2 linked regions of the Arabidopsis thaliana genome follow. The protein of the gene in region 1 interacts with the protein of each later gene in a biochemical or structural test. Each region holds a gene or a part of one and is shown on either strand. Other genes may lie near its edges.

The links.
Region 2: the proteins of PHIP1 (region 1) and RAN2 form a complex in vitro, tested with the Arabidopsis thaliana proteins (one study listed by BioGRID).

What each region holds. Positions count from the first base shown.
Region 1 is NC_003074.8:20,513,609-20,518,795, forward strand, and holds PHIP1 (phragmoplastin interacting protein 1), read left to right. Parts: upstream 1-2,021; 5' UTR 2,022-2,063; coding exon 2,064-2,518; intron 2,519-2,604; coding exon 2,605-2,779; intron 2,780-2,967; coding exon 2,968-3,014; intron 3,015-3,107; coding exon 3,108-4,224; 3' UTR 4,225-4,451; downstream 4,452-5,187. Other genes in the region: PPL1 (PsbP-like protein 1), read right to left, coding at 423-523, 617-713, 829-900, 972-1,094, 1,173-1,255, 1,329-1,409, 1,532-1,667; AT3G55350 (PIF / Ping-Pong family of plant transposase), read left to right, coding at 4,910-5,099. UniProt on the Arabidopsis thaliana protein: RNA-binding protein which mediates polarized mRNA (e.g. Ran2 transcripts mRNA) transport from the nucleus to the vicinity of the cell plate during cytokinesis and phragmoplast formation.
Region 2 is NC_003076.8:6,760,879-6,765,493, reverse strand, and holds RAN2 (RAS-related GTP-binding nuclear protein 2), read right to left. Parts: upstream 2,926-4,615; 5' UTR 2,678-2,925; coding exon 2,675-2,677; intron 2,549-2,674; coding exon 2,479-2,548; intron 2,139-2,478; coding exon 2,082-2,138; intron 2,001-2,081; coding exon 1,883-2,000; intron 1,531-1,882; coding exon 1,113-1,530; 3' UTR 811-1,112; downstream 1-810. Other genes in the region: AT5G20030 (Plant Tudor-like RNA-binding protein), read left to right, coding at 1-523; RAN-1 (RAS-related nuclear protein-1), read right to left, coding at 3,747-4,164, 4,423-4,540. UniProt on the Arabidopsis thaliana protein: GTP-binding protein involved in nucleocytoplasmic transport. Required for the import of protein into the nucleus and also for RNA export. Involved in chromatin condensation and control of cell cycle.

The sequences.
Region 1 (5,187 bases):
ATTTTTTATAATAATTTGTGTTGCCGTTGCAGTGTACTGTGCCGTCACCTACCGTAACACAAGAGCTGGTTCTGCTAACGGACACAGCGACTTCGAGTTTGCATATTTTTTATATATTACTGGTGAGCTAATTCTTGACAGAGCATTTCGATTACTGACTTTCTCGTAGCTGTAACATGACACTTTATAAGCCCTTTCTGGTTAGTAGCTGAAGCTACAAAACTATGACTAGAGATCAAATTGACCAAACAAGATGAAGTTAGGTTAAAAGCAGAGAGAGAGGTAAGGAGGCAAGTCAAGAGTTATTGAATCTCTCTTACAGGAAAAGAATATTGTTAAGGGAAAGAGAGAAGAAGAATGGACAAAAATACAAGAAATGGGCAAAACAAGAGACAACCAAAGCAAACTTGATTACAGTATTTTCAAACAGTGATCTTGAAGGAATCTACCACAGTGTGAAGCCTATCTTTCATCTTCTCCCACCTCCTTTCATTCGCTCCCGTCGTCAGTGTGTAGAAGTTTCCTGCACAGCAAAACGCCATTTCTCGATGAGCATTGGATACTGCAGTCAGTGTGTATTAGATATGAATGTGAGAATTCATGGGGATGTATATACCGTTGAAAACCGTGATGGTACCCAGAGCATGGCGAGTGTAGTTTCTAGCTTGAACAGTGAACTCAAACTGATAATAAGTCTTCCCATCGACATCATGCTGCAGCACTCGAAACAAAAACCAAACAATCAAAACCACCCTCTCTCTCTCTCTTATTATTACATTCAAGAGCCTCCACTCAATTAGTCGAAAAAAGCTATCAAAAGGAGCAAACCTCTGATGCATCAATAAGGGTTGTTTTCTGATTTGGAGGTGCCAAAACTTTCTTTATCAGTGTTTCAGCTATCTGTAACCAAACCAAGTTCAATCATTAAAGAGAGTGAAAAACAACAACCAAACAAAAGAGAAGAACATTACCTGCTTGGGAGGGCCAAATTCTTTAATAGTCTGTTTGCTAGTTGGGACCAAATTCACACTAACACTTTCTAAAGGCTCAATCACATCTTTGTATACCTTATCTTGACCTTCAATCACAACTTCCTAAACACACATTCAAAACAATGAGACAAGACATTGTAATTGTTAAAAAGTGGGCAAAGAAGATCACAAAATTGATACCTGCCAACCAAATGGATAGAGAAACGCATAAGCATCTTTATTGTCAGAGACAGCAAGGAATCCTTTTTTGCTTTCTGCAGCAACTGAGCCATATCAAACATTTCAAAATTACACACAAAAATTGCAAAATTAGTGACAAACAAAAAGGGTACTTACATGATAATGGAGCTCTACTAAGCAATGAGATCCAAGGAGCAACAACACCAAATGTTACAATCAGACGTCTCTGACATTTATCTGAAAAAAACGAAATAAAAACACAAACTTTATAAAAGGGTTTGAAGAAAGATTCGTTTTTTCCTCAGAGAAGCAGAATATAGAGAGTAATTTGAATCGGAAACACGTAAGAAAAGACAAACCTTGAAGATGAGAAGAAGAAGACGAGGAATGGTGCTCTGCTTTTACAAGAAATGAAAGTCCTTTCTTAGAGGAAGGAATCACACCAACCTTAGAAATGGAGATTGGAGAAGAAGGTGAAAGCTTCAGAGAAGCCATTGGAGAAAAAGTGTAATATGTGGTATAGAGATAGATCTTTTGTTGTCTTCTCTTATGGATTCACTTCTTTCTCAGTTTATCCACTTTTGAAACTTCCTGACCTTTTAAAAATGTCAGAGAGACAAAAAAAACACTAATTTGCAAAAATGGCCCTTCAAAATAATAAATCTTTGCAAGATAACAAAAATGTAACCAAAACGCACAGTTTCAATGGGTGTTTTACATAAATATACAAATTAGGATGAACAGTTAAACATTTTGGGGCTCTTTGTTACAGTAGTAGACGTTTTATGAAAAGCCCATAATAAATCTGAAGCCCGGCCCATATGTAGGTGGTATCAAAATCATCCAATTAGGGTTTTATGTTTTTTGTTTTTGGCGGTCTCAGTGAAGAAGATGGTGCTGTCGAACAAGAAGCTGAAGCAGAGGATTCGACAAGATTTGGCTGAATCACTATCTGTCTCTGTATCCGAAACAAATCCACAATCTCAGTCTCTGAAATTGCTCCTTGATTCATCTAGCCACAAACCCAGATTGTCGAAGAGAGAGAAACGAAGAAATTGCGAAACTTTCGCTAGAGAAGACGACGAAATCAGAGAGAATGAAGTTGGGAATGGTGGGTCAAGCGAGAAGACTGATACGAAGATTAAAAAGAAGAGAAAGAGAGACGATGCTGTGGAAGTCGACGAGTTAGAAGGAGATGAAGGAACTAAGGAAGAGCAAAAACCCCAGAAGAAGAAAAATAAGAAGAAGAAGAAGAAGAGAAAGGTAAACAAAACGCCAAAGAAGGCTGAGGAAGGCAATGTAGAAGAGAAGGTGAAGGTAGAAGAGATTGAAGTTAATACAGACAAGTAAGTTTGTTTTAACCGACTTCATTTTAAAGCTCTGTTAGTTTCAATTTTATGTAAATTAATCGACTTGGTGTTTTGTTTTCCAGTAAAGAAGAAGATGGGGTTGTTCCTAACAAGTTATATGTTGGGGGTATTCCTTATCAGAGTACAGAAGATGAGATTCGTAGCTACTTTAGAAGCTGTGGAGTCATCATTAAAGTTGATTGCAAGATGCGTCCTGAAGATGGGGCTTTCAGTGGTATTGCCTTCATCACTTTTGACGTAAGTTTTTCCATGTAACGTTGCTGTGTTATGATGCAGCCTTTTGTTTTTGTAAGAACATAGATCGTTGTTGTTTTGGGATTAGACTTTAGAGTTAGTTTTTTGCCTTGGTGGCTGGAGATTAGAGACTGGTTAAATGGACTGTGTCATACACTGTGTTGATATTTTTTTTCGTTTCATTTATACAGACTGAAGATGGCGCAAAACGTGCTTTGGCTTTTGATAGAGCTGCTATGTAAGTAATCTATAGCTGTGACTCAAATATTTTAAGACTTTCCTTGGTCACATTTGATATTGGTTGAGTAATTTTTCTTTACTTTACTACTAGGGGTGATCGATATTTGACAATCCAGCAATACGTGAAAACCACCACCCCTTCCATTCCAAGAAGGAAAACATCTTCTGGTTTCGCTCCAGAAATGGTGGATGGCTATAACAGGGTATACATTGGGAATTTAGCCTGGGACACAACAGAGCGTGACATACGGAAGCTCTTCTCTGACTGCGTAATAAACTCTGTGCGGTTGGGTAAAAACAAAGAAACAGGAGAGTTTAAAGGGTATGCGCATGTGGATTTCAAGGATAGTGTGTCTGTGGCGATTGCGCTGAAGCTGGATCAGCAGGTTATTTGCGGAAGACCTGTCAAGATATGTTGTGCACTTAAAGACAGACCAGCTACTGATCATACACCTGGTGAAACGAACAATGCTGGTTCGTACAACATGGAAGATACTTATGCTGCTGCTGATCCAGTACCGGCTTTAGCTGGGCGTAGCGAAGTTGATGACGGAAACTACTTTGCAACTACGGTTAGCAGCAGTAAGGTCAAAAGGAGGGTCTGTTATGAGTGTGGAGAAAAGGGTCATCTTTCTACAGCCTGTCCCATAAAGCTTCAAAAGGCTGATGATCAGGCAAACTCAAAGCTGGGTCAAGAGACTGTTGATGGTAGACCGGCTATGCAAAGCTATGGTCTTCCAAAGAATAGTGGTGATTCTTACTACATGAATGAGACATACGCTTCTACAAATGAAACTTATAATGGAGGATACTCAGCATCTGCTGTTGGCACTGGTAAGGTCAAAAGGAGGAACTGTTATGAGTGTGGAGAAAAGGGTCATCTTTCTACAGCCTGTCCCATAAAGCTTCAAAACACTTCTCACACAAACTCAACGCTGGATCACCAAACTGTTGAGGCAGGACCGACTCAGGTAACAAGCTATAGTCTTCAAAAGAAAACAAGAGACACTGAAAACAATGGTGGTTCGTTCATGGATGAGAGCTATGCTACTGTTCCGATATCCATTGATGTGACAAATGGAGCTAATGATGCAAGCTTAACATCTGCGGTTAGCACTGGTAAGATCAAAAAGAGAAACTGTTACGAGTGCGGAGAAAAAGGTCATCTTTCTTCAGCTTGCCCTAACAAGCTGCAAAAACAAGGCTGATGATCCCACAAGCTCTACAAAGACAGCTTATACATTTTGTTCTTAAACTTTACATTTGAATCATTGGAGGAATATGGAAGGACGTGGACCACTTGGTAGAAGAGTGGAGTTTTGGTCCTCTTTTAGAAAACCATAAATTTTATTCTGTATTGTTTTATGATCTTTCATAGAATGCTCTAAAGTCTAAAAACCAAAAGTATCTTAATATATTGGATTATTATTTCTTGACGCTCCAATTCTCTCTTCTCTTCATATGTTGTTCTCCGACCATGATCTTAAAAATGTCGGCACAAACAGAGTGATAAAAGGTAACAAACGAAGATTCTTGACATTAGAAAAGACTGAGAATCCAATAGATTAAAGAGTAGATCAAATATATGCCTATTGCGGACTATAACAATTAGAAGATAAGCAATCCAATTATGCCTGTTACCAATCCGAACCTAGATAATTAAAGTTGGTCCAAAGGATCTTTAATTTCGAAAACCTTCTTTTGCAATTAATCATCAAAACAAGTGGCAAAAAAAAAGAAGCAATGGCCACGTTTTTTTTTTTTTTGAAAGTCGAAATCAAATCACATTACCCCAAATCTCTCTTCTTTGAACTTTAATCCTCTTCTCTATTGCATGCTTTAAGCTCCAAACCCAAAACGCAGGAAAATCTCTTTGACAGTTTTTGGTTTTAGATGGGACCAATCAAAACGATAAAGAAGAAGAAGAGAGCAGAGAAGAAGGTTGATCGGAACGTATTGCTTGCTGCTACTGCTGCTGCTACTTCCGCATCCGCCGCCGCTGCTCTTAATAACAACGACGACGACGACGACTCATCATCTCAGTCTTTGGATTGGTGGGATGGATTCTCTCGCCGTATTTATGGTATCTCTTTTTTTTTCCTACCTTTCTTGTTGGTGGTGATTTTTGCATTGGCAGAGTTTTTGTTTTTTGAATCTAATTGTTGATTCTG
Region 2 (4,615 bases), on another chromosome or scaffold:
TTCATCTGAGAGCAAAGACAAGCTTGATGAGTCTGATGTACCTTTGTCAGTAGGTCTAAAGAAACGGACTTACTCTTTGGTTGAACCTCACAATCAAACTAGAGCTTTAGCTGCTTATCCTCCAAGGTTTCGTGAAGAAGTGAAAGAAGAAGAAGAAGATAGAGAGAGTGTTGCTTCTTCTGTTGGTAGTTGTTGCATGGATACTGATGGTCTCAGTGCTGTTTCATTCAATCCCATTGAAACCGGTAACTCTAGTGACACAGAGTCATCGTCTTGTGGCTACGGGAAGGTCAAGAAGTTGGTGGTTCCAAGAAAAGGCTCAGAGGCTGCTGATGTTCATAGGTTAGAGCTGGATGCATACCGAAGCAGTATCGAGAGATTGCACGCATCCGGACCAATCATAACATGGGAACAAGAAACGTGGATTACAAATCTCCGTCTCAAATTGAACATTTCGAATGAGGAACATCTGATGCAGATAAGAAACCTTATCTCTGACGATAACAGTACTATATACAGATAGCAGCAGCAGCAGCATTGAGAACTACAGTTTGTGTTACATAGAATAAAAACTGAGTGTAGATTGTACAAATGTCATTTTATTTTTCATTCAGGTTTTTTGATTTAATTCCAAACTTGTGAAAGAAAATTTGATCATCTTTACTCTTTTATCTTTGCGTTGGACTTGAGGAAGACTAGCAATGTATATATGATTCATGCCATGGCCTAAAAGCTATACATAAAAAAGGAGATGAGAAGATTTGTGTACGTAATTGAAACACTAGTGATTAAACTAACAATTTCAAGTAGCACAGCTAAATATTCTCCTTTTATGTTTGATTCATATGACCAAGTAGCTACAATAGTTACAAAATCTAAAATGTTGCAACTGGCAAAGTAAAAGAAAAGTGGGTAGAATCAAAGTTTTCCAATAACCGCATATTCTTTAAGGCAGAAAAAACTTGACTGCAAATTCTCTTTGGGTCCCAAAAAACAGAACAATCCAAATAATTCCCCCAATTTTGGTTCTAAAATAGACCGATTGATTTATATGTAACATCAACTCAAAAAACATCATAGAGGAAAACCACAGCAGACATTTTTGGAAGATTTTACTCAAATGCGTCATCATCATCATCGGGGAGAGGCTGAGCTGCAGCAGCTGCAAGATCGGCCTCATTCTGCTGCTGAGCAGCAATGTCAAGGTGAACCTCTGGTGGAGCAAGAGCTGGTGACTCCACAAAGTGAAGGTTCTGGTCTCCAGCCAGTTTCCTAGCAAGGTACAAGAAAGGCTTCTCGAAGTTGTAGTTGCTCTTTGCTGATATCTCATAGTACTGCAGATTCTTCTTCCTGTGGAATGTGACTTGCTTTGCCTTCACTTGCCTGTTCTTCACATCGACTTTGTTTCCACACAGAACAATCGGGATGTTTTCACACACCCTGCAAAGATCACGATGCCATGTCGGAACATTCTTGTATGTGAGCCTTGCTGTGACGTCAAACATTATTATCGCACATTGACCATGGATGCTGCAAGAAAACCGAAGATTAGCAATATATCCAGATGGAATATCAAACAAACCATTATCATTCAAGTCCCAGTCAGCTATTCCTATTGTCCAGGTAACAATAGTTGCAAACATGACATGTGAGATGGTTCTTGAATTTCACAACCTAACCAGCGCTAATCAAAACAATGCAAACTTTAATAGATATTGAGATCTTAACAGATTACTTCAACAACATACGATTCCTATTCCCACCGTCCAGGTAACAAATCGGTTGCCAATTTTACGCACAAACCAACCAGAGCTAATCCAAACTATACACACTCTAGATTGAGTATACACACAAACATATCAATGGAGATATGTATACTTACTAGTATCCATCCCTAAGGCCACCAAATTTCTCTTGTCCAGCAGTATCCCAGCAGTAAAAACGGATCTTTCCGCAGTTTGTGAAGAAATCCAAAGGATGAACCTCCACACCAATAGTAGCTGCAACAAACAAGATTAGGACTCAACATCAGATGATGTTCACAGAAATTGTGCATTCACAAGCATCTTTGCTATACTTACGTTCATACTTCTTCTCAAACTCCCCAGTAAGATGTCTCTTCACAAAGGTCGTTTTCCCTGTACAAAACACCAAGAGCAATCATAGGTTTAGCAAGAACTAATCAAAAACATTGAACCATACTAAAACTGAGCCAATGAAAACAACATTCCGGATCATCTAAGAATCGATATCCCAAAGATCTGCTCAACGAAGGCCTAGTCTGTAAGGTTCTCTTTAAAACCAATCAAACATTGATATTATCAAAAACCAATCGTACAAATCTAATCAGCACATCATCAAAATCTCAAATCCGTCTCTTAAACGAGAATGCTTTCAGATGGGGACAGTGAAAAGACGATCAAATTTCAGAGATCACAAAAAACAATAGGTCAAAAAACACGGCGAAGAATACTGTACCTGTGCCTCCATCACCAACGATGACGAGCTTGAAGCTAGGATAATCTACGGTTTGTTGGTTAGGTAGAGCCTGAACAAGATATCACAACAAAATTCAGTAAAATCCGAAAAAAGAAACATCAACGAAATTAAGCGATCTCGTGAGATCTAAATACTACAAGACGAAGAAATCGGGAAAAGAGAAGAGAATGTTCACCATGTGAGAGGAGAAGCGAAGTCAGACGTTGATGTCGTCGAGGTTTAAGAAGCGATGCGGCGAGAGGGACTAGGGAGAGAGATGGGGTTTTAATAAGGAGAATTTTGGGAGGTTTTGGCTTAGGTTTGACGCTATTTTTTCCACCGTTAGATTCCATCTTTTGGCTCTCCAATATCTACGCAGCTTTCTGCACCGTTGGATCTTTTTTTTTTCAGCTTTAGGTCCTGGTTTTGAGTTTTGACAAAATAAATAATATATTTATTTCCTGTATCGTATGTGAAGTTTTGATTTTATTTGTAGCATAGTTTTTTACTAACAAATCATTTAAATAAGGATTTATTGTCCGTAACGGATAGTTTCAAAATTTCAAGTACTCACTCACATGACATCCATCTAATGATGCCTTTCAAATTTAATGGTAACATATTAATACCAACAATATTTCCAGAAATTAATATACACATCGATAAATTCTTAAGCTCAAACTTGCAGAAATTGGTCTTAGAGCTCACGGTTGAAGAAAATGTCTGGAATCACGGATTGAAATCGGTCGTTGATTTGAGGGAAAGGGTTACTTCATTCTTCAATGCAAGAATGGTTGCCAAACAAAAAGTTATCCGATTATTATTCTACAAGTTCTGGTGCGGATTGATTAAGAAGATCAAGTTTCAAAGAAGAAAAGGAAGAGGATTGCAGAAGAATCTGCAAAGCTAGAGAGATCGGGGAAGGCAAAGAACTTAACCATTGTCAATGCAGGTCAGGTCTCCCAACAAGATCTACTTGCAGCTAATTTTACCCAGGTTTATATGACATCACCTGGTAGCTAAAGAGTGGCATCTGAAATCTAAGAACTGGCAAGTAATAGGAGGTAGAATAAAGTTTTCCAATCAACTAATATTCTTGCGAAGAAACAACTTAGCTTTGGATACCATCAGAAGAACCATCCAAAAATACATACCTAATTTTTGTTATAAGAAAGACCGATTGATTTATATGTAACACCAAAACAACATAGAGAAAACCAAAAGGAACAAGCAAGAGCTTCCCACGGCAGACATTCTAGAAGGATGATTTACTCAAAGATATCATCATCGTCATCGGGGAGGGGTTGAGCTGCAGCCTGTAAGAGCTCGGCCTCGTTCTTCTGCTGATCAGCAATGTCAATGTGAACCTCTGGTGGAGCAAGCGCTGGTGTCTCCACAAAGTGAAGGTTTTGGTCTCCAGCCAGTTTTCTAGCAAGGTACAAGAAAGGCTTCTCAAAGTTGTAGTTGCTCTTTGCTGATATCTCATAGTACTGCAGATTCTTCTTCCTGTGGAATGTAACCTGCTTTGCCTTCACTTGCCTGTTCTTCACATCAACTTTGTTCCCACACAGAACAATCGGGATGTTTTCACACACCCTGCAGAGATCACGGTGCCATGTCGGAACATTCTTGTATGTGAGCCGTGCTGTGACGTCAAACATTATTATAGCACATTGACCATGGATGCTGCAAGAAATTCAAAGATGATTAGCTATACATCCAGATGGAATATCAAAATTAAAATTCAAGTTCTACTCTATTTGTCCAGGTAACAAAATCAGTTGCAAACTATGCATACTTCAAAACATACCAGTCTTATACCCATTGTCCAGGTTAATCGGTTGCCAATTTCAAATCCTAACCAGAGCTAATCCAAACTAAGCACACTCTAGATTGACTCTAGACACTAACCTATCAATGAGAAAGTAAAGGGTCCACACTTACTAGTATCCATCCCTAAGGCCACCAAATTTCTCTTGTCCAGCAGTGTCCCAGCAGTAAAAACGGATCTTGCCACAGTTTGTGAAGAAATCTAATGGATGAACCTCCACACCAATAGTAGCTGCAACAAACAAGATTACGACTCAAAATCAGAATCATTTAAGAGACATGAAGAACAGAAATCTGAACATTCACA